4 linked regions of the Coturnix japonica genome follow. The main gene of each other region encodes a partner of the protein of the gene in region 4 in a complex. Links are inferred from orthologs where the notes say so. Each region holds a gene or a part of one and is shown on either strand. Other genes may lie near its edges.

What was found.
Region 1: ARVCF (region 4) and PA2G4 share a complex: the UniProt entries of both Homo sapiens proteins name them as parts of the ribonucleoprotein complex. The link is inferred for Coturnix japonica from reciprocal best matches to the Homo sapiens genes ARVCF and PA2G4.
Region 2: ARVCF (region 4) and SRSF1 share a complex: the UniProt entries of both Homo sapiens proteins name them as parts of the ribonucleoprotein complex. The link is inferred for Coturnix japonica from reciprocal best matches to the Homo sapiens genes ARVCF and SRSF1.
Region 3: ARVCF (region 4) and DDX5 share a complex: the UniProt entries of both Homo sapiens proteins name them as parts of the ribonucleoprotein complex. The link is inferred for Coturnix japonica from reciprocal best matches to the Homo sapiens genes ARVCF and DDX5.

The regions. Positions count from the first base shown.
Region 1 is NC_029544.1:855,832-864,154, forward strand, and holds the start of PA2G4 (proliferation-associated protein 2G4), read left to right. Parts: upstream 1-3,530; 5' UTR 3,531-3,677; coding exon 3,678-3,765; intron 3,766-5,162; coding exon 5,163-5,291; intron 5,292-5,781; coding exon 5,782-5,887; intron 5,888-6,122; coding exon 6,123-6,192; intron 6,193-6,383; coding exon 6,384-6,476; intron 6,477-6,919; exon of another isoform or gene 6,920-7,105; coding exon 7,106-7,169; exon of another isoform or gene 7,170-8,323. UniProt on the Homo sapiens protein: May play a role in a ERBB3-regulated signal transduction pathway. Seems be involved in growth regulation. Acts a corepressor of the androgen receptor (AR) and is regulated by the ERBB3 ligand neuregulin-1/heregulin (HRG).
Region 2 is NC_029534.1:7,444,001-7,452,499, forward strand, and holds SRSF1 (serine/arginine-rich splicing factor 1), read left to right. Parts: upstream 1-4,221; 5' UTR 4,222-4,377; coding exon 4,378-4,571; intron 4,572-4,914; coding exon 4,915-5,099; intron 5,100-5,456; coding exon 5,457-5,629; exon of another isoform or gene 5,630-5,898; coding exon 5,899-6,093; 3' UTR 6,094-8,073; downstream 8,074-8,499. UniProt on the Homo sapiens protein: Plays a role in preventing exon skipping, ensuring the accuracy of splicing and regulating alternative splicing.
Region 3 is NC_029533.1:7,252,730-7,259,553, forward strand, and holds the end of DDX5 (probable ATP-dependent RNA helicase DDX5), read left to right. Parts: coding exon 1-149; intron 150-280; coding exon 281-377; intron 378-460; coding exon 461-594; intron 595-712; coding exon 713-778; intron 779-1,231; coding exon 1,232-1,373; intron 1,374-1,468; coding exon 1,469-1,629; intron 1,630-1,794; coding exon 1,795-1,967; intron 1,968-2,155; coding exon 2,156-2,266; intron 2,267-2,474; coding exon 2,475-2,536; intron 2,537-2,623; coding exon 2,624-2,683; intron 2,684-3,927; coding exon 3,928-4,152; intron 4,153-4,749; coding exon 4,750-5,132; 3' UTR 5,133-5,960; downstream 5,961-6,824. UniProt on the Homo sapiens protein: Involved in the alternative regulation of pre-mRNA splicing; its RNA helicase activity is necessary for increasing tau exon 10 inclusion and occurs in a RBM4-dependent manner. Binds to the tau pre-mRNA in the stem-loop region downstream of exon 10.
Region 4 is NC_029530.1:843,142-850,951, reverse strand, and holds part of ARVCF (armadillo repeat protein deleted in velo-cardio-facial syndrome), read left to right. Parts: intron 1-488; coding exon 489-542; intron 543-2,349; coding exon 2,350-2,441; intron 2,442-4,947; coding exon 4,948-5,049; 3' UTR 5,050-5,061; intron 5,062-5,929; coding exon of another isoform or gene 5,930-5,935; 3' UTR 5,936-7,810. UniProt on the Homo sapiens protein: Contributes to the regulation of alternative splicing of pre-mRNAs.

The sequences.
Region 1 (8,323 bases), on a different chromosome or scaffold from region 4:
ACCTGGTCATCAAGGTGGGTGAGAGCCCCCCCCCTCAGCCCCCTTGGGATCCCACAGCCCCTCATGTGCCCGTCCCCACAGCAGGAAAGTGGGGCCGTGCCGCCCGCCGAGCCCCCCACCCTGAGCGACAAGGAGCTGGATGAGATGGAGACGCTGGAGCTGGAGGAGGAGGAGCTGGATGTGTCCTTCGGCCTCTGCCCCCCCCGGCCACGGGGCAGCTGCACCCGGGTGAGCCTCCTACCCCATAACCCTGGGGCCACTGATGTGGTTTGGCTGCATCCTGGGCATTGGGTCCTGTGACGGGTATGGGGCAGAGTGTGGGTCTGGGGTCCTCTGTGGCTCCCCTAAGCCATCACCCTAGTGGGGCCCCAGCCCCATTGCCACAGTGGGTAATGGCCCAGCTTGATGCCAACCCCCCTCTATGTTCCCCCACAGAGCCCCAGCCTGCTGAGCCCTCCAGCTGGATACATCCCCATGAACCAGCCTGGCCTCGGCAGCCGACAGGTACCTGGAGGGGTAGGGAGGAGAAAGAGAAGGGTCTGGGGTTGGGACGAGCAAAGGGTTTGGGCTGCATTGCATTCCATTGCATTGCAGTGGATTTCATCTCAGTTCAATTCATTTTATTTCATTGCATTGGAGTTGGGCTCAGGGGTGGGAGGGATTGGGGGGCCTATGGGGTCCTCCCAACTGCCGTGAATGGGGGCCCTGCTTCTCTTTCCTTCCTGCAGGGGTTGGATTAAAGGGTAACTCTGACTGTAGGCTGGGCTACCCCCCCCCCAATCACTGCCATGTCCCACAGGGCACTGGGACCCGTCCACCACGTCGCAGCCGCCAGGAATCTGTGGGGAGGACGGTATCAGAATCATCCGAGGGTCGGGGCACGGCCTCAGAGTTGGACCTGGCCGAGGGGCTGTCGCTGTCGGGCAGCCTCTGCCGCAGCCTTCGCTCCAGGGGGGACAGTGCCTACCTGTCCCAAAGGGAGAGCTTCCCTCCCCCACCCCCCAGCTCTGAGGGCAGCGAGGAGGACGCCAATGGCTACGTCACACCCAGCTGCGCCGGACGGGGTGAGGGTCCCAGCTCTGGGGGTCTCATTCCTAATTGTGAAGGGTCCCTTCCCAGCAGGGTTTGGGATGTGGGTGGGGGTCTCTCCTTGCAGAGCATCTGGGGGGTTCCCATAGGTTGGGGGTTTTTGTTCCCAGAACTGAGTTTGGGGTTCCATCTTTGCAGGGTTGGGGTTGGAGGGCTCAGCATTTGGCTGGGTGGTCCCTTCCCCAAACCCCTTCCCTAAACCCCTTCCCCAAACCCATTCCTGGCACAGCAGGGCCCCCCCAGGACTCAGCCCCAGTCCTATGTGCAGAGTGGGGAGATCTGGAGGGGCACAACCACTGTCTGACCTCCACTCCACAGAACCAGAGCCCACAGGGGGCTCAGTACCAGAGCTGGACGAGGAGTACGAGTACATGAACCGGCAGCCTGGAGCCTCCCTACAAGCCCCCCCACCACGGCCAGCATCGCTGGAGGAGCTGGGCTACGAATACATGGAGGTGGGCTCAGAGCTGGGCAGCCCCACAGGGCCCCCCCTGGGCCGTGGGGAGGAGGAGGAGGACTACGAGTACATGAACAAGCAGCCGCGGCTGAGCCGCTCGCTGGGCAACATGGTGGGGGGGCTGGGACCCCGGCATGAGGGCTGCCCCCCCCGACACGACGGCTACACTGACATGAGGCCTGGGGAGCCCACCCCGGCCCCAGCTGAGGAGCAGGGCTATGAGGAGATGGAGGCGGTGCTGGCCCCCCGTGGCCCTCCCTGCCCCGGCTGCCGCAGCCCCCCCGGACCCCCTCCAACCTGCATGAAGCCCCTGCGCAGCCTTGAGGCCTCAGACTGTGCCTTCGACAACCCCGACTACTGGCACAGCCGCCTCTTTGCTAAGGTGGATGCCCAGCGGACTTAGAGACCCCCCCCCCTCAGCTGTTTACACTGGATATGAAGGATCATCCCCCCTACACTGGTGCTGGATGGAGGGTGTGAGACAAAGCCCCATGGGAGACATGAAGAATGGGATTGAGGGGGGGGGAGGGCAGCCCTGCCTGGGTTTGGGGCTGATTCTGAACCCCCCATTGGGAGGGGGGGCTTGGACCCCTCCCCTCATTACTGCCATACCCCAGGGCTATTCCCAGCACCCCCCTACCCATGGTGCTCCCCATGTGCACGGCTGCAGCAGCAGGTCCTGGCTGGGGTCGGGGGTCCCTGCTTTGAGTTGGGGTCCCTGCTTTGGGGTTGGGGTTGGGGGCCCTACCTGTGGGGTTGGGGTCCTCCCCTCATTACTGCCATACCCCAGGGCTATTCCCAGCACCCCCCCCCCCCATGGTGCTCCCCATGTGCAGGGCTGCAGCAGCAAGTCCTGGCTGGGGTTGGGGGTCCCTGCTTTGGGGTTGGGGATCCTGCTTTTCAGTTGGGGTCCCTGCTTTGAGTTGGGGTCCCTGCTTTGGGTTGGGGTCCCTGCTTTGAGTTGGGGTCCCTGCTTTTCAGTTGGGGTCCCTGATTTGGGGTTGGGGGCCTTACCTGTGGGGTTGGGGTCCTCCCCTCATTACTGCACATACCGCCAGGCTTATGCCCAGCACCCCCTCCCCATGGGTGCCTCCCATGTGCAGGGCTGCAGCAGCAGGTCCTGGCTGGGGTTGGGGATCCTGGCTTTTTCAGTTGGGGTCCCTGCTTTTTCAGTTGGGGGTCCTGCTTTTTCAGTTTGGGTCCTGCTTTACTCAGTTGGGGTGCCACTGATTTGGGGTTGGGGGCCTTACCTGTGGGGTTGGGGTCCTCCCCTCATTACTGCCATACCCCAGGGCTATTCCCAGCATCCCCCCTCCCCATGGTGCTCCCCATGTGCAGGGCTGGGGGCGGGGGTCCCTGCTTTGAGTTGGGGTCCCTGCTTTTGGGTTTGGATCCCTGCTTTGAGTTGGGGTCCCTGCTTTTGGGTTGGGGTCCCTGCTTTGGGGTTGGGGTCCCTGCTTTGAGTTGGGGTCCCTGCTTTGGGGTTGGGGGCCCTACCTGTGGGGTTGGGGTCCTCCCAGCTGCCGTGGATGGGGGCCCTGCTTCTTTCCTTCCTTTAGGGGTTGGATTGAAGGCTAACTCTGACTGCAGGCCGCGCTACCCCAGCACCCAACGGGGCTCTATGGGGCAGGCCTGAGCCGTGCCCGTAGGCCTCATAGAGGCCTTTTCAATGCACTCCGGTCACCTCCCCGCTCCAAAGGGGGAGGGAGTCGGGTTTCGTTTGTTAACGTGAAAATAAACACGATTGGAATAGAACCGGCTGCTGGTGTGTGATGTGATGGGGGGGATATAGGGGCTAAAAGGAAAGGCCTACCAAGGGCTGAGACCCCGACCTGAGCCCACTAGGCCCAACACAAGTCCTTCACTTCCGCCATCCGGCCCTACTTCCGGTTGGATAATCCGCGCTGCCTTCTGGGAACGGTAGTCCTTAGCTGGGCCTTGCCGCGAGTACTGCCGGGAGTTTATGTAGTCCTGAAAGTGGGAGGAGACTCGGCTTCCCAGCGTGCCCCGCGCGGAGCCCGCGCTCCTGCTCAGCTCGCGCTCTCTCGCTCGCGTTCCCGGGGTCTCCTCAGAGCGGCGGCGGCGGCGTCGGGGGGGGGGAGAACGGGCGGCACCGGCGGCAGCTCCGAGTATGTCGGCCGAGGAGGAGGCGGCCGAGCTGACCATCGCCGAGGACCTGGTGGTGACCAAGTACAAGATGGGGGGGGACATCGCCAACCGTGAGTGCAGGGCCGCGGGGCTGAGGGCTGGGGGGGGGCTGCGTGGCGTTAGGCCTCACGGTGTGTGTGTGTAAATAGGGGGGGGTGGTCCCGGTAATACACACCGATGGCGGCTGTTGAAGGGCCGGATCCTGGTGTTAAGGGGTGGGGAACCGCACGTGGCCTCCGCTCCCCACGTGCACCGGGATGGGGGGGGGGAGGGCAGGGCAGGGCCGGGCCCGGCGGGATCCACGCGGTTTTCCCCCGTCCCGAGTGGATCCGATCGGTTCCTCCCGGTATAAACGAGTGCTGGGCTCGGCCACGAGGCCACGGAGCCCCCCCGGTCTTTTGTTCCCACCCCCCCCCCCTCCTCCTGCCGGGATCACTGCCATGAACACTACATGGACACTGCCCTGTCCCCCCCCCCAACCCTCTGCTGTTTGCTCGTTTATTTCTGCCCACAGCCGTTCCCTCTTGGCCCCTTCACGGTGCTCCCCGAGCCATAAGGACGTGGGATCCTCTCAGGAGGGGCTATAGGGGCCGTACTACCTACATACAACGCAGCCCCGGGGTGGGATGGGGTCATTGCGCTGTTGTTGCTGCCCTGAATGCAGCTCGATTAACAGCAGAGGGTTTCCCTGCTTGGTAGAGTGGTGCCTATGGGACACAGAGCAGCTCAGAGGGGTTCCCTGCTTAGTGTGACAAACACCAGCTCTCTGTCTACCCTTCCTTAGGTAGGTAAGGATAATAATGCCCCTTGTTCTCACCTTTCAGCCCCTTGCTATCAACTAAAGGTCTTTATTACAGCACTCCCTCTTATATTCCTCACCAACATCTGGGACCTGTGGAAAGATTACTGAAGTAATATGAAGCATAACTGCAGTGCTGGGCTCACAATCCTTCCCCTCATTCTATAGAGGCACGTTGACACCCATCCCAGCAGCCAACTACTAATTGTACACACCACAATATGCCCCAGTGTGGGTGCAGCGCTGCCGTACACACACAGTTGTGCAGAGTAAGGGCGGTTTCCTCCTGGTCCCACACGCCCGCGGCTGCCCCTCTGCTCTTTGATGTGCTGTTCGTCTCCCAAGCAGTTTTCAAACCTGTTCCTGTAGCTCTGAGTGCTGCGGAAGGAATGTGGGAGAGCAGTGTTTCTGCTCAGCTCCTTTGTGTGCCAACCCTCCGTGCACCTCGTGAGGCTGCAGTGCTTCACCTGTGCACGTCCCAGCATAAGTTGGTTTGCTCCTGCCTTGGTTCTCAAGAGGCAATATGGATTGAAATGGGTTCTCTGCATATCTCCAGCTCACTCAGTGCAAAGCTGAATCCAGGATGAAGACTAAAGTCATTAACAAAGCAGACTTGGTGCTGTGTGATGAGCTTGGTTAACGTGTTCCATGTCTTGCGTTGCTTTACAGGGGTCCTACGTGCTGTGGTCGAGGAGGCGAACTCGGGAGCATCGGTTCTGTGCTTGTGTGAGAAGGGAGATGCCATGATCATGGAGGAGACGGGCAAAATCTTCAAGAAGGAAAAAGAAATGAAAAAAGGTGAGGCCTGCACACCAACGTGGGTCACTGGGCTGATCCTGCTGAGCTGACATGAGTGGGCAGCAGTGCAGAAACCCAACTCGTCCAGCTTGTCCTGCTTGGAAGCATCACTGCTGAGCTGGTGCTTCCCAGTTCAATGCTCCACTCACTGAAATAAAAGAGTTACTTTGGATAACAGTGTCCTTCCTTTGGGCAAGGCCGGCCCTGTGCTCAGCAATCAACCTGTAGCTGCCATATAAACAGTGTGACACTTGAGTGTGTCACTGAGTTGAGTGTGGAGAGTTGGGGTCCCTTTTGTACACGTCTTACTGCTGAGGATCAATTTGTTTGATAGCTGCTGGGGCAGGAGAGTGCCACACACTGCTCTCCTCGTGCTGTTTCACCAAGGGATTATTCAGTGGGGCACCTTAGCTTTCCAAAGCTCAAACTTAGTGACAATCCACACTGCCTGTACTGTGTCTTCATGGACTATTCTCTTTCTCCTTTACAGGTATTGCCTTCCCAACGAGTATATCAGTAAATAACTGTGTCTGTCACTTCTCCCCATTGAAGAGTGACCAGGACTACATCCTCAAAGATGGAGACTTGGTCAAAATGTAAGCATCTTCATTATGTTTCTCTTGCATCAATGCTTGCTCTTGGCATCCAGGCTTTGCATTTTAGTCCTGTTTGCTGTGTTAAGTACTTCCTCGACGTGTCTAATTACAGAATATAGCAGCTAATCGAGTCAAGCTTTATTAAATATACCTGCATCTTCGAATGCTTTGAGAAGTCACACCAGTTTCCCGAGCCATTAGGCCTCGCCTGTAATTAACTCTCTTTGTGTTGCAGTGACTTGGGAGTCCACGTCGATGGCTTCATAGCAAATGTAGCACACAGTTTTGTCATAGATGCCTCAAAGGTAGGTTGGCCACAGGTTTTCTTTAACAAGGGAAGGGACTAATGGCAGAGCTGGGAAGCCAGAAGTGCTCCTGCTCTCATTTAGATCCCACACACTGTATCTCTATCTTTAGGCAGCCAGAATGGCAGTCTTGCTGATAAGAGGGAAAAGGAGTTGTTCCCTACAAGCCTTTATTTTTCCTCTTCTTTCAGGAAAAACCTGTGTCAGGCCGTAAAGCTGATGTCATCAAGGCAGCTCATCTCTGCGCTGAGGCCGCGCTGCGTTTGGTAAAGCCTGGAAACCAGGTGAGGGAAACAGGGTGTGTGAGTGTGCCCTGATACAGGGAGAGCTCTGCAAAGATGGGCTGTGCATAAAAATATAAAGGCCTGTGACATCGCCTGGGAAGAATGGCCCATCTATGTGGGGAATCTGAAGGCAGCTGTTTGCAGACAGCTGAGTGCTCCTGGGAGCACCAGGGTGGGTAGCAGCAGCTCTGGATCCCTGTAAGGACCCATAGAGGAGCAGTGCTGCTTTTCCCATCCTCTCTGAGCACACAGCTGACCCTCTGTGCCATGCTCAGCTCTTCCTTGCCCACTGTTCAGACACCTCAGCAGCCATAGGCGTTCCCCTTCAGCACCATGTTACTATTACAGTAACCTCCAGCACTGCTCTCAAGCTCCCTGTGTTACCTCCTAAAGGAATGGTGTGTGAGAAGGCACCGGGTGCAGTGCAGGAGGCTGAGCTGACCTCATGTTCCACGTTATTTTTATTGATGGGGGATTAAAAATGGAAGCCTGCCACCATTCCTCCTTTTTTTGGAGGTGTCAGAGCACCACTTGGTTTTATCACCAAACCCTGCCAGGTGAAAGTTAACAGTCGTGCTTCTGGTTTGATTTCTAAACCCTTAATGTGTTTACATGTGTTCTTCATCCAGAATACACAAGTGACAGACGCGTGGAACAAAATAGCCCACTCGTTTCACTGCACACCCATTGAAGGTAAGGGCTGGGGAGCAGCTGATCCAGAGCAGCAATGTTTTAATCGCACACTCAGTTCTCATCTGCCCCCATTCAAACTCTGGGGAGCATTTCCTGACTACAGGTTCTATGTGTGCCACCTCTAAACACAGCAGCCTTTGCTATAGAACCCTTTCAAAACCATAGATTCTTCTTTCCCCTCTGTATTATGTTTAAAAGGTGTGTTCATGTAGAAACAGTAGATGTCGGTTTCCAGGAATAGCAGTTGGCATTCCAGCTTTTGGATCTCCCATTGACCTCATGCCAATCTCTTGGCCCTTTGCTTCAGCCCTGACCACATGTAGTTAAAACCCCTTCTATGAATACATAAAAGCTTGTTTGTAATGCAGGATCCATCGCAAAAGATGCCCATAGATGTGCAGGGTATGTAATTTCCTCCCTTACAACCAGAAACTGATTTGTTTTTTCTTCACATTGTTGATAAGGGGTGGGTGGGGAGGCCCTGGGACAGCTCCTTGTAGAACTGAGAATGCTGAGCTCTTGTTTAAGAGGTGCTGAGAGGGCTCAGCGTGACATTGGCATGTGCAGATGCCTTTCTCCCAATCAGTGACATCACTGATTAGCCACAATTAGACCAGTCTGCTGTTAATTCAATTTCCTGAAGTGCTGTAAAGCTGGCTCGGTGTCTTTGCTCGCCTTGACCCAGCCCTGGAACGTCAGCTCCCTGTTCTTGTGTGGGATGGCTTTGTGGGTCTCTTCAATGCTTTGCTCCTTTCTATGTGAAAAAGCATGGCATGAGCTGCAATGAGGAGGCGGCTGCTCGCGCTGTCAAGGGATTTTGAGCAGCCACTGTTTTGGAAACAGCCAAGTGCTGTAATTATCCAGGCAGTGGCAGCAACTTTAGGCCCCAGCTGATGGAAACAAACAGAGCTGCTGGCGTGGGGGCTCACACTGTCCTTCCTGAATAGGGACACATGTATATGGCCAGGCTGTGGCCTGAGACATGGGCTAGGCTTCAGTTTGGAAGTGAACCACAGAGCAGAAAGGAAAAGTGAGTTCAGCCCCACAAAATGAGCTTTGAGTGCTGAGACACTGGTGAGAGGACCTGAAGTCTCCATTAATTTGACACCCAAGTGTGCAACGTATGTGCTTGGAGGTTCACGTCCAATGTGTTC
Region 2 (8,499 bases), on a different chromosome or scaffold from region 4:
AAATAGCACTGCAGCGAGGTGCACAGCCCCGTGCAAAAGGAAACAAATCCACACTGCTGACCTGGAGAGCTTGGCCCCACGCCTTTGCAGCTCAGCTGTCCCGGAGCCCCTCGTACCTCTCCTGCCTGCTCATATCTGGCATTCTGGAGAATAAAATGGTAACATGCTGCCCAGGAAACAACATAAGGAACAGCTGTGTAGGGTAGCTGCTCGGGATACACTTTTCTGCAGCTCGTATAAAAAGAAATCACCAGAATCACATCCATGCAGGGTCATATCCCGTCTGAGCACCCCAGGCAGAACACAGCACAGACATCAGCGCTTCCCGCAGTCTGATTGAACGCTAATGGAAAAGCTCCTTTACAAACCACTGAGGCCTGGCAAATTGGGGCTATTTTTGGAGAGCAAAAAGCCTCGGATCTACGCACATTCCTGAGGGAGGCACAACCATGAGGACATCGGTACCACATGGACCTCGTGTGCCTGCTTGGACAGACACTGAAATGAGCACCCACGAGATGGCTGTGCTTTTTGTTTACTCATTCCTTGGCAGGAAGGAGAGAGCTGTGTTTTGTGTTCATTACCAGTGTTTCTGTTCCTCGTTCTCCAGAGCACCCGGCAGCACAGTGGGAGCGCCCAGCAGGGACCACAGGGGCAGCAACTGCCACAGCAGCTGGTGGTTTGCTGGGAAGTCTGGGCTCAGGTCCACCCACATAGTGAAGAACCCAATGGAACCTCACCCTGAAGTCATGGCAACGTGACAACAAGGCAGCACACATCCCACCAAAACCTCATTTTGTTAATGAGCTTTTAATTGTTGCTAGCAAGACAAATAGTGCTTCAGAGATGTTACAGTCACGGCTCTTCTGAGTAAGTCATGTTTAATAGCTTTGGGGGTGGAAGTGTTATTGTGATCAGTGTTCCAGGATTTCTAAAACCCAAGCAACCCACCCAGCACACCATCCTTGTGCTGTTAGCTCAGCTACAGGCATCACGTGTGGGAGCAGCTACAGAGCACAGGCAGTGGGGCAGTGCCCCATGGCAGCACTGTGTGCCCTGCAGGTATATTCAGCCTCACTCTTAGCAAATAACTTCCATCACCTTTCAAGTCTTTGTGATGACCCTCCTCCTAATGCACAGGGGCTGCATCTCTGCCAGCTCTTGTAGCAGCTTTCCTCACCCCACCCTCCATCCGTGTTTTTCACCCAGGATGGTTTCCAGGCAGAATTTGCACAGCCAAGGTGTGCATCAGGACAGGCCACAGCATGCGCACAACAAATCTTGTTGCTTATGCATCAATCTAAATCAATAACATGAGCTGTGCCACTCTTCCCTTTATGGGAAGCATTTCCCACCTTGCAGGCTTTCATTGCCCTGTTGTTACACTGAGTTCCTCTGAAAAAATCACCAGTTGCAGTTTGGTATCACAAATAAACAGCATGGAGACACCTCCAGCCCAACACGTAGAGCCATGGAGACAGTCTGTGTGTCACTGCTGACCTGCCAGCAGACCCAGCTCCCCAGAACCAATGTCATGGATCAGGAAGTTTGCACAGCTCAGTTCTACAGTAACTGTTCCAGCTCACAGTGCTGTGTGAAAACGGCCCTTTTCTCGCAGACAATCAGGGCTTTAGGGGCTGTTATTTTGCAGCACAGTGTGATTAGTCAGGATTAATCCCTGCCCAATTCTGCAGCGCTTTAGGAGCAGGTTCTCCCACCCCAGCCCTGGGAAAGCCACCACTCTGCAACGCTTCTGTTTCGTCATCAGTAGAAGTGAATGATGAGCTCAGTGCAGAGCCCTGCAGGGTCTTCACTGTCTTCACTTCCATTCTGAGAACAAAAACCCGTCATTTTACAACAGCTGGTTGACGTTTTTGGTGTTGTTTGGCTTTGTTTTGCTATTGGCCATTTCTTACCTCGTAGTTTATTTCCCACATAATTAATGTTTAATGATTCTCCACATACACATCTTTTCTTTTTTCCCAGAAAGCCAAAAGCAGCTCTGGAAATGCAACCCAACATTCTGCAGCTTATCCACATGCTTTAAGTGCTCCACTGATAACACAGAGCTCAACAAGGGAATGAGAAAGAAAACATCCAATAATTCTATAAAGAGACACTTCATTAAAGCAATTAAGGCAATCATTTAAAGTAGTTATAAGGACTATTAACACACAAAAGAAATTGTGCAGCAGGGTTTTAGCAAACCAGGCAGATTCACCATTATCTTATGACGCCTTTAAGAATAACATCCAGCATTTATTAAACCCCATTCCCAGGCTTAGGCTGCAGCTTTCTCCAGACATGGGGAGAGTTTGTTTGGGGTCTTTGCAACCAGTTCACACTGGAAAGCATTAAAGCTCCATAAAGATGCAGGAAATCCCCCAGAACCATGAGCTGTATGTGGGTAAAGCACCGCTTCTGCTGGTGGGCTTTGCTCATCACATCCTCCTGTGGTTGACAGCAGTCTTTAAAGCACCAGCAATGCAGCACAGGCATCACTAATGTCAGAAACCATTAGAGCAGAGGACGTTACTGCACTTTAACCCACAGGGACAAAAATAAAAGGCATTGATAATAACCAAGCACACTATAACTTTGTCATGAAAATGTTTTCACTATGGGATGTTTTCTAACTGTAAGTCACTGTCTGTGGGAGGAATACACGCTTTGAATTAACAAATGAAAACAAAGTGAGCACAACAGCCACTGCTAAATGCTCGGACACATTCCTCAAACTCCCCTCATCAACTCAGGAGCATAATGGCTTTTCTCCATGCTCAGCTGCTGTTTCCCCATCCCTGTGGTGCTGAGATTCAGCCCTCCAGCACCAGGCAGGCTCAGCGGTGCTGGATGCAGGCAGGCAACCACTGTGTGCCCCAGTGCCACTTCCAGCCCTCAATGCATTGCCACATCTGCAAAGCAAAGCACAACGTCCAGGCAGCCAAGTGTGAGCCAACAGAGCAGGGACTGCTCTGCCCTCATGGGTCAGGCAAAGACTTTATGCTGTATTAAAGAAAGAAAAGTGGATGTTGGAGTTTCTGTGTCACCACAGAGCAGCTACAGGCCAAAAGAATTCTTGTTGTTAAACCAAAGCCTGGCTCATCTAATTGCACCCTCATTACTTAAAAGCAATTTATACGTTCAAAATTACATCTGCTGCCTGAAGAAATGTCAGAGACGTGTGAGTAACAAGGGTAACATCCCGGTGTGTTACTGTGCCTTCACATCAATTACAACCTCATCAAGAAAACAAACTCAGCACGGCGTTATTCTCGTGCCCCCATAGTTCGGCTGTGCTCATAGGAAGGTTCTGCCCATAGTTAGGCTGTGCCCTTAGGCCGGCTCTGCTCACACCCGTACACAGCGCCCGCCATCGCCCCCAGTTCCGCTCGTTTCCCACCCGCCCGGTGTTTGCACTGCTGTTCCATTCATGACTCAGTCCCCATCACACCCTGCCGTGTTCCTGCCCTTTATTCGTATCCCGTTGCCGTCCCGCTGCCCGCCCCGCCGCGTTCCCCTGAGGCGGGCGGTGACGCGGTGCCCGCTCCGTGCCCTCGGGGCGGCCATTTTGCCTCCGCACCGAGCCCGTCCCAACCGTCCCACACAGTGTCCGCTGAGCGGCTGACGGACCCACACGGCCCGCTCCCCGTGCACCCCGTGCAGCCGCAGGGCGGATCCGCCCGCAGCGCTTCGTGCGGACACGGATCGGTTCGGACCGGCCGGGAATGGACGCTCAGTACCGAGCCCGCCCGCCCAGCGCTGCGCACGGCCCGACCCGCCCGCGGTGCATTGTGGGCCGGGCCACGCCCCGCGCCTTGGCGCCAAGAGCCCCGAGCGGCGCGGTGCATTGTGGGACACCCCCAGCGCCGGCCGGGACTTCTTGGCGCGAGCGCCGCACCGGAAGTGACGTCACACGGCCCGGCGCCCTGAGACGGCAGCGGAAAGAAGCGCGGCGGTCCCGGTGCGGACAGCGGGGATCGGAGGCGGATATTCACGTTCATCCCGACCTCGCTGGCAGGAGCGGAGCCTCTTGTGCGGCCACAGCCGCTTTGGCGGAGCAGCGGAGGCGAAAGGCAAAAGAGAGGAACTACTTTTCCGCGCTGCCGCGCATGCGCGAGGGCGAGAGCGCGGCGGGATACTCGGAACGCATTGCGGTCTCGCGGCCCGGCGGTGCTGCGGCGCGGGGTGAGAGAGATCAGTGCGCGAGATCAGTGCGCGCTGCGAGCGCGAGGGGAGCCGCGGTCGCCATTTTGAAGCGGCGGTTGCTGGAGTCGCCGTGTCCGCTCCCGTCCGCACGGCCCGGCCCCGCGCCCGCCCGCCCGCCCGCGCTCCGCGCCCCGGCCCCTGAACGCCGCAGCCATTGCCGACCTCGGCATGTCCGGAGGGGGCGTGATCCGCGGCCCGGCCGGCAATAACGACTGCCGCATCTACGTGGGCAACCTGCCCCCCGACATCCGCACCAAGGACATCGAGGACGTGTTCTACAAATACGGCGCCATCCGCGACATCGACCTGAAGAACCGCCGCGGGGGGCCGCCCTTCGCCTTCGTGGAGTTCGAGGACCCGAGGTGAGCGCCGCGGGGCCCTGGGGCACGGGCGGGAACGGCTCCGCCGGGCGCCGATACCCCCCCCCTCCATTCCCTCCCTTCCTCCACGCGCGGCGCCGCTCCCGCTGCGCGCTATTCCACACACACACACACACACACACACACACACACACGCTCGGCTCGTTGCGCTCCGGGCCCGGCGCGGTGCCGCCGCTGGGGGTGGCGGTGATGGCGGTGATGGTGGTTGTGGTGCTGATGGTGGTGGTGGGGGCGGGGTGGGGCCGCGGGTATTGGGAACAAAGGCGCTGCGGGGGGCGGCGCGTGGCAGGGCGCGGCCGCGCTCACCGCCCGTCCCGACCCGCAGGGACGCCGAGGACGCCGTGTACGGGCGGGACGGTTACGATTACGATGGGTATCGCCTCCGCGTGGAGTTCCCTCGCAGCGGCCGGGGGACCGGCAGAGGAGGCGGCGGCGGCGGAGGGGGCGGAGCCCCGCGGGGCAGATACGGCCCCCCGTCCCGGCGATCGGAGTACAGAGTGATCGTCTCGGGTGAGTCGCTGCTCTCTTCCCCCGGGTCCTTCGTGCTGCCGTGCGCGGGGGGCGACGCGGCTCCGCTTTTCCCTGCGAAGCCTCGGGATGGGGGAGGGGTGCTGGATGCTGTGGGCTGTGTGCAGGGTGTTCTGCTCGTGTGCTGCGGGATGATGCTGGAATTGCAACACCGGAGGCCTTGGGTTCGAATCCCCTGTGGCGCAAGTGGCAGAAGTGCCGCTCTGCTACACAGAAGGCTCAAATCGCGGGGGGTTGGACTCGATGATGTCTAAGGTCCCTTCCAACCCGCACGAGACTGTGATACTATGATATGATCGCACCATTGGGTTTTAAAGCCAGGTGTTGCTTTTTATCCAGGACTGCCTCCAAGTGGAAGTTGGCAGGATTTAAAGGATCACATGCGTGAAGCAGGTGATGTATGTTATGCTGATGTTTTCCGAGATGGAACTGGTGTCGTGGAGTTTGTACGGAAGGAAGATATGACCTACGCTGTGCGAAAACTGGATAACACTAAGTTTAGATCTCATGAGGTAGGTTTCACGCTTACTTGTTTTTGGCCAGAATTGGATACAAAGGGCTTAACAGTAGGATGTGAAGGTAAGGAATGTGTGGTGATCATTGCGTTAATACACGAAGCAGCTAAACTGAGTCTGCTGTCAGTTTGTCACGAAATAGACTTTATTAAGAGTTTGATGTCTATTTCTGTGCCTTAGTAAAGATATCTGCAGTCTGTCAGCATGCCTAAAACGATGGCCCCGAAGCCTAGACCTTTCAATCGAAAGTTGTGTCTATTCAATAGGGAGAAACTGCCTACATCCGTGTTAAAGTTGATGGTCCAAGAAGTCCAAGCTATGGAAGATCTCGGTCACGCAGCCGTAGTCGTAGCAGAAGCCGTAGTCGAAGCAACAGCAGAAGCCGCAGTTATTCCCCAAGAAGAAGCAGAGGATCTCCACGCTACTCTCCCCGCCACAGCAGATCCCGATCTCGTACATAAGCGATCACTAGCTCTGATCTTTTTGTAGAACCCCATGTTGTACACAGTTTTCCTTTACTCAGTACAGTCTTTCAATATTATTTTTTTTTAAATTCAAGCTGTTTTATTCAGATTGGCTGAAGTGTTGAATTGCATTCTTGTGTAAAATCCCTAGTGAGTATTTGCTCCGTAACAACAACATTCCCCCTCATGTCTTTGGTAAACTGTATTTTAATTGATGTCAGTCAGGATTGTTTCAATTTAGTTCTAGTTAAATACCAACACTCTTCAAACTGTGGTATTGCTGTGTAAATGTCTCAGTGTTCAGCTATGGTTCATGCGAGCTGGGGATGTTGGGATGTTTGTGGCTAACTTGTCTCTTCTGGGGGATCTTATATTTTATCTTGCCTTTTCGTGTGTCTTTCTGTAGACATATCTGAAGAGATGGATTAAGAATGCTTTGGATTAAAGGATTGTGGAGCACATGTCAATCATTTTAGGATTGTCAAAAGGAGGATTGAGGAGGATCAGATCAATAATGGAGGCAATGGTATGACTCCAAGTGCTATTGTCACAGATGAACTTGGCAGTATTGACCTTATACTGAGACAGGTGAATTGAGAACGTGCGCCTGCGTGTCACTTCTTCAGGCACCTCTTGGTCACTGCGGGCTGCAATTGCTCTGTTCTTTAAAACCCTCTTGGCAATTGTGGCTCAGTACTTGCCGGTGTAATTCCTTATTCCATTCTAGTCTTTTTTTAAAGGAGTAAACCGGGACAGGGGTGGGAGCATTGGTTTGTCCCGCGGCATTTGGTTCCAAGCGTTAACGGCCCGCAGTACTTCCACGCTTGCGGATCAAGGGTATCTTTAAATGGGAGTATAATATCAATACTGCTAAAATCTGCATGTCCTCTGTGTGACTGATACAGCGTTGCTATTTCATTTCTTTTAAGTATCAGAATGAAAGGGAAAAAAGCCAAAAACCCAAATCCTAAGAGAACCTGGTTGGGAATCGTTTGTCAGCCCTTCCCCAGCCTAATTCAGAGCTGACTCACCGTATTGAGAGCTGCAGTTAGTTCCTCTGTTACCTTCCAGCCGGGGGTGCTGGCCGTAGCTGAGAGGCGCAGTAGGTGACAGCTTTAGCAGTAAAACTTTTCCAATTTCATAAACATTTTTTGCAACCACAGAAGCTGTAGAGCACCACCGTACGAGCAATGAGTATGTTGGCATTTTTAGTTGACATATGTAAATATTGCAGTGTTTCCTCCAAATAATTAACGTTTCTTAAAGAGAACAAAAGATATAGCATCACCATTCAGAAGCTTGTTTTGGGGAATTGATAGTTATTACTGTACATCTGTATTAATTGATGGCAAACATAACTGATCATTCCCCAGAATCCTATTTTTTCATTGCGGTATCTAACTTTTTGCCTCCTCTTTTTTGGTTTTGCTGGTTATAAAGGTTTGGATTGGAGAGGGCTCACTGGATCCCAATCCTTGGAGCTGGATCATTGGATTCAAATCATAATGTGGATAGGATAGGGAGGCTGAATGGCAAGGATTCATGGAGCGGGATCAGATTACCAGGAACGTAGGAGTGGATTCCTGCCCCAACCAAACCGCATTCGTGTGGATTTTTTTATTCAACTCAATTGGCTATTCCAAAGCTTTTTCTTTTCCCATTTGTGACGATTGGAGCCCTTATGATGCACGATGGAGTTTGTCATTTTTTGGTAAAAGGAGCAAAGCGAGGACCTGGAGAGGTAACGCTGGAGCGATCTCCTTGGAAGGATTCAGCACGAGTAGATGGTAAACGTTGAATGGGGAAAAAGGGGGGTTTGTTTCAACACCAAAAGTTGTTTCTCTAAATTCCAAGGCGGAAATTGGAGCTAAAGATGACGTAGGCTTTCAATTGGCTGCTGCCTTTATTATTTTTTTTCTTTTATTTTTTTCTTTTTTTTTTTTTTTTCCTTTGACAAATAAAATTTTTACAAAATCACGCCCGGTTCTCATCATTTGTTGGTCACCAAATCCCCGCTGTTCACCAGGAGCTGCAGCATTGTTGGCTCTGCACAAAAAGGCTCTTGTTGTGTCCAACAAGGATCTGCTGTTCCACAGGAAGCGCCGATGTTTGAACTCCTGCGTGAAGGAGCAGCGCCCCGTGGGACACGGCTGGGATTGATTGATTGCTTAGGGGAAAAGAAGGAAGAGTTGGACCCGCCGACAAAAGGCTCCTCGCTGTTGGGGATGATAACAAACAGCTGGAAGTGAATGTGAGATCAGCCCAGCGTTCACACACTGCGGGCTGTGTCCCCACACCTGGCTGCTCCAGTGCTGGCAGCCTTGGAGAGTCTCCGTGCAGGAGCCACATCCAGCGTGAAGGATGTGGATGTTCCTTCGGTTTCCTGATGAGGTAACAGTGAAC
Region 3 (6,824 bases), on a different chromosome or scaffold from region 4:
TTGGAGGAAGTAGAGCTGGTCCACTTTCTGGGAAAAAATTTGGAAACCCCGGGGAAAAGCTGACCAAAAAGAAATGGAATTTAGATGAACTGCCCAAATTTGAGAAGAACTTCTATCAAGAACATCCTGATGTAGTCAGACGAACTGCGGTATGTACCCACCCAGCTCACGCAGAAGTAAACAAGCACAAACATGCTTAAGGTCATGGGACCCAGCGTGCAGTAACTTCACTAACTTCCGTGCCAAAGCTGTTTCCAGTAATGAGGTTTTTCTTTTGCAGCAAGAGGTTGAGCAGTACAGGTCAAGCAAAGAAGTCACAGTGAGGGGCCATAACTGTCCAAAACCAATCATAAACTTCTATGAAGCTAACTTTCCTGGTAAGTGCTGGCCAACATATTGTTTTATTTTTTTCCTGTCTTGATTTACAACTTGTGAGTTAAGCTCTAATTTTCTCTTCAAGCAAATGTTATGGAGGTGATTCAGAGGCAGAACTTCACTGAGCCTACTGCTATTCAAGCACAGGGATGGCCTGTTGCCCTGAGTGGATTGGATATGGTTGGAGTTGCACAGACTGGATCAGGGAAAACGCTGTCTGTAAGTTGTGATTATGATGTGGTGTACTGCTGAAATCCAGCAATGAAAGTACAGCCTGGTGTAAGGCAGGCTGAGCTCCTGGGAAGAAACTATAATGTGGCTTTTTTCTTCTGAACAGTACTTGTTGCCTGCTATTGTGCATATAAATCATCAGCCATTCCTGGAGAGAGGAGATGGACCTATTGTAAGTATTCTGAACTGAAGGAGGACCTTAGCTGCTAGAGAAGGTGGATTTCTCACAGTCTAATTGTCCATGTTAATAGGAGTGCATAGTTCTTAATCATGGAAACCTTTTAAAGTGGCCCATGTGTGGTGTTTTGGGTTTCTCTTTTTCTAGTCTCCCAGGAACAGCCCATAAGCTCTGATACGGTTCTATAAAGTTTTACAGAACAGAGCTGCTCTTCCATTTTGGAACTTGCCATCCACTAGAAGCTACAGTGAATTTTGAGTATTTTATCACACATCACTGGCTTGTGTTTAGTAATGGAGATGTTACTTAACTTTGTTTACTTGGTTTGAGATACTCAGTTCTACTTCAGTCAGTCTGGCATTGAAGTGGTGTATAACAACTTTCTGAGTTAAAATGTAAGACTAGAAATTGCATTTATGGAACTAAATCTGGGCATCTTACCTCTAGTGTCTTGTGCTGGCACCAACTCGGGAACTGGCTCAGCAAGTGCAGCAAGTAGCTGCTGAATATAGCAGAGCATGTCGCTTGAAGTCTACGTGTATTTATGGAGGTGCTCCAAAGGGACCACAAATTCGTGATCTAGAAAGAGGTAAGGATAAATCTGGATGCATCTGTGTGAGGTGATGCGAAAACTGCTTATCTGACTTACTGGTTGATTTTTTTTTTTTCTTGTAATTTTTTTAGGTGTGGAAATCTGCATTGCAACACCTGGAAGACTTATAGACTTCTTAGAAGCTGGGAAGACCAACCTCAGGAGGTGCACTTACCTAGTGCTTGATGAAGCTGATAGAATGCTTGACATGGGTTTCGAACCTCAAATCAGAAAAATTGTGGATCAGATAAGAGTGAGTATAGATGGTAGCTGCATTTAATTGTACTACAGAAACAGCAGTGTTTGTTAAAACAAGGATAAGGATAGCGCAGTTAGCTCAGACTTCTGGGTAGACTTCTGTGTTTATGTTTTACTTAATGATATGTTAATTTTGTACTGATAAAATCTTTCTCTCCAGCCTGACAGGCAGACTCTGATGTGGAGTGCCACGTGGCCAAAGGAAGTCAGGCAGCTGGCTGAAGACTTCTTAAAAGAATATGTCCACATCAACATCGGTGCATTGGAACTGAGTGCAAACCACAACATCCTGCAGATTGTTGATGTGTGTCATGACGTTGAGAAGGACGACAAGTGAGTAGTTACTGGGGGAGGTAAAACACTCAGTATGTTTCTGACGGTTGATTTAACTTCTGTATCAACCGAGATGAGTTTAGTGGGTATTAAATGCTAATCTAATACTGCTAGAAGCCCTCCATGTTAAAAGGGGAAAGAAATTGCACAGTGTGGGTAGTGAATGTTTCATTATCTCTTCATGACAGGCTTATTCGTTTGATGGAGGAAATAATGAGTGAGAAGGAAAATAAGACAATTGTTTTTGTGGAAACCAAAAGACGTTGTGATGATCTTACCAGGAAAATGAGGAGAGATGGGTAAGTTGAAGCACGAACTTAAATGATCCACCCCAAAAGAATCAAGAGCACGCTTGGTCTAATTAGTGACCACCTGTGATGGTGTCCAGCTGTCTGACCAGGTGTCAGCTGAAAGGCTAAATCCAGAAGCTGTTGAGAATGTCCCAGTAGCTGTCATAATAATGGAAGTACTCAATTATTTGAGGTTAATCAACTTCTGTATTTTCAGATGGCCAGCAATGGGTATTCATGGTGATAAAAGCCAGCAGGAGCGAGACTGGGTTCTAAATGGTGAGTATTTCAGCAGTTTGGTAAGCAGGCTGCTGTCTATCTGGTATTTGATGCAAAGAGACTGATGAAGAGTTGCTTGTGTTACAGAATTCAAACATGGAAAAGCACCAATCCTGATTGCTACAGATGTTGCATCCCGAGGTCTAGGTTAGTACAACTCGTAATGCCAGTTGCCCAAAGTTATTTAAAGAAAGTCTATTGCTTTCTTTAACCTCTGCATTTTTCTAAGTTTTCTTCACATAAAGGTGCAGTCTTTGTGGCAAGGCCTAGGCATGACAATCGGAGGACTCGAGGGGGATGGAGGACTAGTGGAAGTGATCGGCTGGCTGCTTCCAGTCAAATAGAGAGGTGAAAACTGAGAGCATTGTGTGCCAGTAATCTTCAAAAGGCAAAGTTCATCCTTTAAACTACTCCCCCATAAACTGTTCTCTCATGAAATAAGCAGCCTCATTCACAGTTCACTTTGCCCTGGTATTTCTCTTCTCTCCATGCTTTGCATGATTTGCCATGGTGCAGTACTGTTAGTTTTGTGCATACTGTCTGCTGTGATCTGTGGGTCTTTGAATTTCGGTGAGTTTGAAATGTTGAGGAAAAGAAAAATCTTGAATGTTCAGTGAAATTTTTTTTCTAACCATGAAATGGAGAGAGCAGCTTTAAAACGTACTAAGCCTTGTACAAATTGGTGAGTACTGGCACATGAAATCTGAGCAAAAGTCCACCTCTCACCTTAGCAAGTGGGGCAGGAAAGCATTGGCTTTTCTAAATGCCTTTGAAAGTCGAAGTTCCTCCACCTATATGTAGTCGTCATGTCGAGACCTGCCAGAGAGAGACACATTCTCAAGTGAACGCTGGCTTCTTGGAAGTGCTTGCCTAGACGAGACAGTGCATAAAAACAACTTGGTGACTTTTGGGGGACAGGTATGTTTTTCTTGCAGCTGCAGTTCAAAGGTCTTGGCAAGACGAGCAGTGTGGCCCATTTTTTTTGAGCTTCTAATGAGTGTGTATGTGAAGGACCTTGTATGTTTTTACTCTAAGGTCCTCAAATGAGCACATGAAGAGGCTGCTGTGAGCTTTAGTGGCCCTACTGCAAGAAGCATTCAGATGTCACTTGATGATTTGTAAAGGGGACTCTTGAGTTGGGAATGACAAGCAAATGCATACTCCTTTATGGTAAGGTTTTGGATCACAGGGTGGGTGATAAGACGGGAACAGACGGAGTGTGCATATCTTCCTCTTCCACAATATTCGTGCAGAAATGGATAATTCTAACACTGTTCTTTGCAGCCATTATTTCATTGAAAGTACTATTGTCTAACGTTTATCTTCGATTTGGCTGTTGTGGTGTGCAAAACTTTGTACCTCGCTTTTTGCCACACTGCAACACTTTACAGATGTGGAAGATGTGAAATTTGTCATCAATTATGACTACCCTAACTCCTCTGAGGACTATATCCACCGAATTGGACGAACTGCCCGCAGTACCAAAACAGGCACAGCATATACATTCTTTACTCCTAACAATATTAAGCAAGTAAATGACCTCATCTCTGTGCTTCGGGAGGCTAATCAAGCCATCAACCCTAAGTTGCTTCAGTTGATTGAAGACAGAGGTTCAGGTGAGTGCTATTGTTAACGATGCACAGCTTTTCTCTCAGAACAAACTGGCAATCTTTAGCCTCTCAAAAATGGATTCATATCCAGCTTACTTGCCAGTTATGGTGACCTCCAAAGGTGTTAAAACGCTTGTGAGCAAAACCTGCCCTCACAATGCTGTGCTGTAGAGCATCTTGTGAGCTGTGGCTGCTGATGTCAAAGATGGGCTTCAGGCTCATGTGTTCTGCATTAAAACATCTTGCAGGGAGGCTCAGCTGTTTGGCTTCCTCTTACAGTTAGGAGATAACTGCATGTAACTCCTATTGGTGAGACCAAAGCAGCTTTCCTTCATGCCACTGCTCATATTACAGGGGAGAGTGTATGACCCTGCCTTCATTAGGGAAAGGGCTCTAGCTTCATGTAAATGTAAATCTTCATGTAATTCTGTGCCCAATGAGTCCAGTTAAAAACTGGAAAGCCTTTTCAGTAGACTTGACTTGCTGACAAAGGAAAAGAATGTTCATGAGTTGAACTCACCAGATGCTAATTAAATGCAGCCTTGATTGCTCTTGTCTATCTGATATCTATCAGATATCTTACTTGTCTTGTCTCTTTACTAGGTCGTTCCCGAGGTGACCGACGTGACAGATACTCTGCGGGCAAAAGGGGTGGATTTAGTAGCTTTAGAGAGAGGGAGAACTTTGAGAGAACTTATGGTGCACTAGGAAAGAGAGACTTTGGAGCCAAAGCTCAGAATGGGGCCTACAGCGCCCAGAGTTTCAGTAATGGAACTCCTTTTGGAAATGGCTTTGCAGCTGCAGGCATGCAGGCTGGCTTCAGGGCCGGTAACCCTGCAGGAGCTTACCAGAATGGCTATGATCAGCAGTACGGGAGTAACATTGCAAATATGCACAATGGCATGAACCAGCAGCAGTATGCGTATCCTGCCACTGGTGCTGCTCCTATGATAGGTTACCCAATGCCAGCGAGTTATTCTCAATAACTTAGTGTATTTAAATGTCTCAGTTTTTCATAATTGCTCTTTATATTGTGTGTTATCTCAGAACAGGATAGTTATTTAAGAAATGGGAAGCGCAGAAATGACTGCAGTGCAGCAGTAATTATGGTGCACTTTTTCGCTATTTAAGTTGAATATTTCTCTACATTCCTGAAACAATTTTTAGTTTTTTGTACTAGAAAATGCAGACAGTGTTTTCAAAGTAAATGTACAGTGATTTGAAATACAGTACCAGAAGGCAGTGCATGGCCTTCCAATAAAGATATTTGAAGACCGAATTTTCTTTCAGATGGCAATTTTCTCAACATGTGCACAACTTTACACTAATGGAATGTCAAATGTTTTTATATTCTAGAGAGGTTTCTCAACTGTGTCTGATTAAACATTTAAGCTTATATTAAAAACAAACCAGCCTTGCCTTGATTGGGCTCTAGATCGCTTAGCATGGCAGGCTCTGTTTGGTGGGGAAGAAAAGCAAAGCTGGCTACTGAATAGCAGTTGGAAATGGTCTTCTTCCTTGTCTGATTAGCATAGGGCCAGTTTGTTTTCTTTATTTTGGAGAAGATTCCTTGGAGTGATGGTGTAGCTGGGCATCTCGCTAACCAAAGCTCTGCTCAAGTGGTGTTGCTAACGAGCTTCTGCCACCAGTGTAGGAAGCTTTTTTGCAGCACCGTAACTGTTGCATATGTGCAGACTAGGCTTGAGTGTAATGTGTCTGCAGCTGTCAGGCCTTGTGAGTTAGCATGCAGGCTTACTATGAGCTTCAGAGAAATGGGAAGATCTTTAGTATTAAAACTTCAAATTATACTTAAACTGGTATTGAGCGGTGATTTCTTTGCGGCAGCGGGAGGAGGGAAGCGGGCTGTTGAGTGAATGGGGGGGTTCTTTGTTCCTGACATTTGTACAATCCCTGTGTGCAGCTGAAGCCTCACTGCTCAGCACAGGAGGGTTCTGAGGCATTTCCTTGCTGGGGTCAAGCAGAAACACTCAATTCTGGGCTTGTTACTGAATGCTTTCAACAACAGTATCTTAAAATTCAACTGAATGTTAACCTTCAGTTCCCACTTTTAACAATAATCATTTTTTAATGGTAAAAATGCTTAACCACTCTTTGCTAATGTAAGAATTGGGCAAGATTCTGTCCACGTTATTCTGAATCTCAGTCTGTGATTTCAAGCCTCTTGAACCTCACTTGCCTTTTCCCCATCTTACTGTGCTATCTTCCCCCCAAGTCAACTTGTGCTACTATTAATTACACTGTAATCCATTATTTTCTTAACATTTATACTTCTGTAAGCTCCTGTCACTGTAGCACTCTGAGCTGTGAAGAACAAGCAGGTTTTCTGACAGGGAATAGCACCAACCCCTGGTTGAGCTGCACGCAGCTGAGAGGTGCTGTGTGACAGCCCTGAGCTGAATAACACACAGTGCAGGGTTTGAAGGTCTGAGATTCCTGGTTCACATCTGTGTTTAATGATGGCAGTGAAATAATGCAGCGCCCTGCTTCTATTTTGCTTCTATGTGTGGGTTACAAGGCCTGTGTGCTTCAGGGGGTTTATTTTCCCCATTAAAGTCACACTGTTCCCCATGCCCTCAACGTTTGCACTTAAATCTTCCGTAGTTCTCAGTGCAACGGAACCGGTTCCGGATCAGACCGGCATGTTCTAAGCGGTGTTT
Region 4 (7,810 bases):
GCCACAGCTGTGTTACGGGAAGTTAAAGGGAGGGCAAGACATGAAGGGGTAAAATGTCTTATTTATATAGTGCTTCTTAACTCACAGTAATGAGATGATTGGTCCATTTATCTGGATATTGATAGTTTTCCTTCTCTTGCAAAATGTGCCCTGCCAGTACTGCATACAAGGTGAGAAAACAACATAATCAGTTAAAATGATCTGGGAGAATTTGGGATAGGTTTAAGATGGAACTTTGACCTGTTAAATGGCCTGTTAAATGGTAGTTAGTCCAGAGCAGAAAATAAGGATTTCATATGCTGTTTGGAGAGCTTAAATTAAAGTCCCCTTTCTGAATGGATAGCAGTTGCTGAATAGTTCTTTGTACAGGTCTGAATCCAGTGCTTTAAGGGCCCCTTTGATTCTGAGACCAGTTTAAAAGTACCGGGTGTTGAGAAAAGCAAATGTAACTCGAGTAGTTACAGTTATTCCATGCTTCTGTCTTACAGATAATGAGAAAACTGGGAGTCGTGATATGATACCTATGGATGAACTTGGCCCAGGTAAGTTCATCATAGGTCAAACCCTCTGTCATTTTCAGTAGAGCACACTTTCACTTACGGGGAAGTTGAAGTGTTTCTTTGAGTGATGCTCTCTCATCACTCAAGAAGGATGTGTTCCACACTGACTAATAGTACCAGACCAGTCAGCTTCCTGCTGTGTGGGACAATGAGAGAGCACCTAGTCAGAGCTTGGTTACCTTGGGAAATGGAGAAACACATGTCTTATAAGTTACTGTGGGATGCACTAGACAGCCTTGTGCAGAAATAGCTCTGGTCTGTCAGGCTTTATCAGCTCTGGACAGGAGACTGCACAGAGTAATCTGAAGATCAGTGATGCTTACTGTTGCAGTGCTGCCTCAGGGTGGCTGTGACCCTGAGCTGTCTACAGGAGTGGCAGAACTGTGATCTCAAGGCTACGTGCCAAATCTGAGTCCTCCAAAGCTGTACCTGTGCCTTAGTTAAGATGCAGTCAATCTGCCAAAATCATTATAGAGCTGAGAATTGTTGAAAACAAAGATGCATAGTTCAGAAGTTCCTCTCATACCTGCATGTCTTTAGGCATGACTTCTCCTTTTTCTTCCTTCTTTGTGGGTCTTTATAAGTTGAGAGCTGTGTGAGGGCGTAGATGGATTGACACTCAGAAGGCATTTGGTCATGTCATTTGTAATGACATAAGAATGTTGCTGCTGCAGAATGAATGGCAGATACTTGGTAAAGCAGTAGAGAAGACAAGGAGAAAGGTGAGAGGAATAAACGAGCCAAGAATGTTAAGTGCTTCTACTGACGAAAATAACTTTGTCTATAAACTAGATTATATTAACTGAAAATAATGCATTTATGCATTGTTGCAGTAAGATCGGTATAGGTCTCCTTCATGCCCCTGAAACAGTTAATTTTGATAACTTACTCAGGATCTAAGAGCCCAGTTTTCAGAATGTGAAAATGTTAATGATCTCTCAGTTATATGGGTAGAAACAAAAGCCTACAGGAAAATACAGATTTGAGTGTCATTTACTCCAGATTACGATGCTGTCAGAGCAGAGCAGGAGGCAATCTCATTGTAACTGATAATGAGGGAAATCTGATGCATCAGGAAGATCAGGTTTGTGTTGGCGGAACTGATTCAAAGCAGAGTATATTCTGAAATATGTAAAGCTGCGTCTTCGTGATGCTCTCTCACTTTTCCTCTGTGTGCTGATCGTGCTTTCATATTGTTTCTTAGTTGTCAAGAGAAAAAGCACCACCAGGTGCTGCTTTGGAATGAAGGGCAGTCTTAGCACAGCAGGGTTTGCATCAAGATTTCTTCACACTCAACAGTCTCCTTTTCTCAGTGCACTGAAAGGGGCGATTTCAAATTACTGTTATGTCCTGTTAATAGTCAGGCTCAGGATGAGTGGGAACATGCTGCAGAGCATTCAGAGAATGAACACAGCCAATTAATCAGGCTGCTAAGCAAGGAACACAAGATTGGAGCTGAATTTGGAGCTCATTAGCCACAAGGCTTGAGATGACAACTTGCTGCTTTCCTTAGGCGCACTACAAAACTGCAGTAGGTTGGGATGAAAACAGTTCTGCTTGCTAATGAGTGCCAGCATCTGGCAGTGATAGGGGGGAAAAAAAGCTTTTCTGTTTTAAACTGGTGAAAGTAAAATTTCAGAGCAGGAGCATATGTGAGAAGCAGGCTGCCAAAGTCTGTGGGTTTTGATGGTCTGTTTTCCTGTTTCTTTGCTGAAGAATACTGCTAGCATCAGCTCTATTTTGCTCTTTGTTGTGTTTCGTGCCTAACTGTCATATTATTCCTCCTCAGATGGATACTCTACCATCGATCACCGGGACAAGGAGCGCAAATACAAGACCAGCGATAACACAGGGGACGCCTCTGAGAAAGAACCTTTAAAAGTGAGATTCCCCTTATTACTGAATGCTAGTTAGTGCCTTTAGAAGAAACAGAGCCTGGTGTTCTCAGCAGGAACAGGGTAGTTACTCACTAGAGGGCTGTAAAGGGGTTTTTTGGTGTCTTTGCTTTTTTTGCGTGCCCAATGTTAAGATAAAAGCACCATTTCCTAACCTGGCACTGGATAACTAGAAATAAAAACAAAATGCTGCTTTCCAGTGCAGAAGTAAGTGCAGAATGGTATATTCTTGTAAATGAATGAGGTTGTAAAAAAATAAAGTTTTTGTTCTGTGGACTTTGTTCAGGCAGCATTCCCTTGCCCTATAGTGAATAGCTGCATTCAATCTTTATTCTGAGAACGGTCACTTCAGAACATCACACGGCTTTATTGTTTTCACCATGAGATGTACATGTCAGCCTGTGCATCTGTCAGAGCAGCGTGGTGAGCAGCATTCATTTCAGCAGCACTCACTCAGAGTCCTGACTGCAGGCGATGGGTGTGGGCCAAGGAGGTGGAGAGGAAGGAGAGATGTTCGTACTTCTGAGTGTGCGCCTCCAAAAACAAATTCAGACCATTTTCTAATTTAACAGCAACAACAACAAGTCTTTCTTCACAAAGTGTTTTGCCTGGAGGGTTGTGTGCAGATGTATCTTAGTGGAGTCTGTTTAATTTCTGTTGCACTGCTGTGCCTTTTCAGTAGATCTTTTTGTTTAAAAGTTGCTTAATGCTTCTAACAATGCTGTGGCCATAACTTCTCCCTGGCCTCAAAACAAGGCTGTTTTCCCCTGGGTAGGTCATTTCTGAGGGGAAAAAAAAGATTCAGGGAACCACGAATCAGCGATAGGAAGTACTGCTGTTAGTCTGTAAAAAGCTGTCTGTTATAACCTTCAGCATGTTGCTGATGATATCGGAAGATCCAGGGGATTTGTGTTCACCAGAAATGATTAAACTTGAGTCAGTTGAAAGAAAAACACTATATTGAAGTGAAATTAAAATGTGATTTGCAGAAAAACCTTTCTGTTATTTGTGGACCAAGAAGGCGTCCTTCTGTATCAGCCTATGTTAACTTGCCTGTTTGTGCATTTCCTTCTGTGTCCTCCCTTTCTGTGAAGGTTTATGCTGGAGAATGGCTTAAATCCAGCTGCAGTTTTTAGCACAGTTCACTCCTTTTCAGTTTGCCAGCTCTGGGTATGGCTGCATCCTGCTGGAGGCTGCCCACTTTAACTTTTCAATAGAATTGCTTATTGTCTTGTGTCAATGCTGCAGTGCCAAACATGGCTTCCTGTTTTGAACCAGCGAGCCCTGAGTAAATGGGCTGGAGTATTGTGGCTGATCTGAAACACTGCTGATCTCTTAGATTCAATGGGTAGCTCACTTCCCACCCCTTTTCTCTTTTGAACAGTTCTAGAAATAAGCGAATATCAGGGCTGTAGATTGTTTAGGAAGCCTCTGCCACTCAGAGCTCTTTGATAAAAGAACAGCCATTACTGTTTTCCTGTTTAGTCATCTTGCAGCTTCTTTGCTAAGTCCAGATGTGTGGTGACACCCATTAAAGTGATCCATTGGTGATCACCTTTCTGTCTATACCTTCCCAGTACATTTCTGCTTGACAAGGTCTGGCAAAGACAGAAGGGCGTACTCTCACTTTGCCACTTGGAGGTGGTTGTGCTCTCATTTGTTTTTTTGCAACTGATACAACCTGATTACTGAATTCACAGTGAGTGCTCCCTCCTCCAGTGTTGCTCTGAAGTGACAAGAGATGGCCCAGCTTGAACCAGTATTAATGTTATAAACTTTCTCTCCCCTCCTAACAGTCTAATGTGTCATTATGAAGGTGCAGTGAGATCAGATGCATTGAGTGACATAAGTATGTTGATCAGTACAAGCTGGACAGAAAATGTCTTTCCAAGAAAATAGGCTAAGGCAGAAGAGTTGACAAATGCTGGTTATTTTTGCCACTCAGAGTTCATGGAAGTGATTTCCAAAATCGTATAGCTCAGCCCAAACTCGCAGTGTGAAGCACAACCCAGAGCTCCAGTGAGCAGCTGCTTTGTGTTTAAAGGAATGGGATAAAAAATACTTCACCTCAGTAATGTGGCCACCATAGTTTGTGCTGCCTCCTGGTTTTAGGGATAAAGGGCTGTCTGAATTCAGCCTGTTATATGACTCAAAAGCAGTCACTGGTGCATTTTCAGCTGGAGCAAAGTCTGAGTAGCTGCTACTCTTCCTTTTCCCTGTCCTGAGAAAGAGAACTCTGGGGTCTTCTAGTTTGTAAACTGTTCAATAACTGTGGCTTTGAGGCTCAAGAGTGGCCAAACACTTTGAATAATGATGGCAGGGAAGTGCAGCCTTTGGCTGCTGCAAGTGCTCTTGTTGGTATTGTGCCTTTGCTGATCTTGTTTCTTTCTCCACCACTAATTTTCCTTTGTGCTCCTTTGAGCTGACTTGTTTGGTGGTTTTGTTGATTAATCCGCTCTGTTTTGCTTTTAACTCCTCACCCTGTGCTGCAGAATGACACAAATAGGAAAAACATTAACAGGAGTAACAGGGCTTCGGTGAATCTGGTGGATGCTCGTGACATTAAACCCCAGCCTGTTGACTCCTGGGTCTAATTTGCATGCATGGTAGGTCATTTTAATGGTAATTGGTGCTAGTAATTAACTTGTCTTGTGCATGATCTGTATAGCTGTGGGATCTCTTCAAGGCTAACTGCTAACTGAGTCCTTTCAGAGAAATGAAAATACATTTGAAAACGTGGTATTTATATTATTCGTTGTGTCTTTAATGAAATGCACTCCAACGCTTCTGTTTGATTAAAAAACAATCTGTCAAATATCTGGACAGCACAGTAGTATCTGGAGTGACTGGCTGTCAGCCAAAATGTGGAAGATTTCTCCTGGTAGGCCATGGGAATGAAATTAAATAGTGTGTTTCAACTTCCAAGCATTTTTTTTTCCCTTTCAGACTCATTATAAGGATTAGCCTGAGACTAAAAAAATAAGTGTATCCTTCTCTATTTATGGATGTCCCCTGAAGTTCCCTACAATTACAAGGCCTGCCCATCTGCAGGAAAGCTGCTGCCTGCACACATTTACTTTGCAACGGGGGGTGGTTTTGGTTACACAATTAACGTTAAGGCACAGTTCCCACTTCCCAAGTCTTTCTTATTCTGTTGTTAAAGAAAGGCGCCTTTTTGTCGCGTTCTAGCTCTCTGCCTTTGCTGTGAGCCAAGTCCCTCAGTAATGTCACTGTCCTTTCTTTATTCCTGCTGCTGCTAATCTGTCTCCTGCTGTTTTGCTGGACAGTGAATGCATATGGGTGGGACTATGAATGAAGTTTGTGTTCACTTTTCTCCAAGTCAGACCTTTCCACAGACCCATGTATCGGGGATAGATTGGGATGTCCGTTCATTGTTCTACCACTAGGTGATGGAGATCACCACCTATGCCATGTCGCTTGCTGGTATTAATCAGTTCTGGCTTTATTTTGCAGGGCTAGAGTTCAACCACATTTTTTTTTAATTGAGGGGGAGAAAAAAACATTGAATTGACACAGAGGATTTCATCAGTCACCACTGCCATTCCGATCTGGAGGGCGCTGCATCACTGACAAGGCTGCGGATTCTAAGAGAATGCAGGGAGAAAACACAACTGACTGCCATTGCCAACCCCAGAGCACCATGCCTTACAGCAAGACAGTTTGCTTTTTCAGTCAGTTACATTCCCACCAGACACAGCCGCCTCCTGCTCCCTCCCACTCCTGCAAGAATAAAGCAAGCAAGAAAAGAGAATCCAAGTTCCATCTGACTGGCTGCATTCTTAGGTGACTCTTACGTGTGAAAGGTGCCAAGAATGAGAAGTGAAGGTCATGCAGCAGCAAAGAGGACAGTGAACTGCAGAGTATTTGAAATGATACCGTAGGTGTAGTCATGAAGATAATAGCACTTTTATGGTTTGGGTCCCATTGTTTTCTTTTTGTTTTGGGGGGTTTATTTTGAGCTGTGAATCTTAACATTTTTAAAGCGTTTTGGAAAATGTTGAGGTTTTCTTTGTTATTTCAGCAGGAATTGCAGGAATGTTGAGTGGGTTTATTGAATTTCAGTGAAGAAAGAAAGAAAATACAGAACAAAAAAATACTAAATGCTGGTCAAATGAACTGGAGAGTAAATAACAGAATCAATGCAAGCTGTATAAATCTGCTTTTAGAGTAAGCTATATCAATCACAGTGCTATATTATCATTATAATCTGATGTACAGTACTTCTGCCTTTTGAATTCTGTAATGGCTCTGCTTTTATTTCCACATGAAGGTTTTAGTGTCCCCAGTTCAGAAATGTGTGCTGAGAAATGGAGTTGGCTGGCTTTTTATTTTCTTAATCTCAAAGTTTGCAGTAAGGAGCTTTTATATTTTAATTGTACCAGTGTTGCATTGATGACAATTAACAATTTCTTTTGCTGTAGCTGCTAACACATTGGAAGAAATAGAAGCAGGATGTCTTATTTTGAACATACTATACATTTTAGGTGAGTCTGTCATTTATATTTGCTGGTAAATTTATCACTGTTGGATCCGTGTTTGCTTGGGGTTGTAGATCCTGATGGAAAATGCCATAAAGGGAACAGATGAGACATTTTTAAAATCATCATCATTTCTGCGTTCCCTTGATTTTGTTTTGAGGTTACATATTTTAGGTGGTACGAAAATCATCCGTGTACAAACGCTCTCCTCTTAGATGCCATGGTGTGCTCTGGATAAGGCAGAATTTTTACCTTGTGAGAACAGAGAACATACACTGCATATACAGATCTGATAATGCCATAAACTAAGTGACTTTGGATCACTGGTTTTTCTCCAGGCATTGGTCGAGGGAGGGCAGCGGAAGAGCATAGGAACCAAATATCTCACCAGTAGTATCAGAAGGCTTTTGCTGATTTTGTTTGGTTGCCACATTTCATTCTAAATAAGCTCCTAAAATGGTGTGACTGGAAAGCACATTTTTGAGCCTAGCAAATGTCATTTGGGGTTTTCAGTGCCTGCCATTTCCTTTATAATTAAAAAGGGGAAATATCCAACGCCCTTGCCTCACCCAAAATATTACTGTAAGAGTAAACGTCAGAAGTTTTTGTTAAAAAAAGAAAAAAGAAAAAAAAATTTAAAAAAAATTTAAAAACACACAAAAAAAGCAAGTACCGAGAGCTTTCTATCTCCATGAGTATATTAAAAATTGACATGAATACATATATATAAATAAATAAATCTATATATCTATATATATATTGTTGTGCAAAGGATAGGTTAATAAAACCATGTAAAGTAGTTTGCAGGAGAGGGAAGCATTTGTTGATTCAGGGAAAAAGACTGATGCCAGAAGCT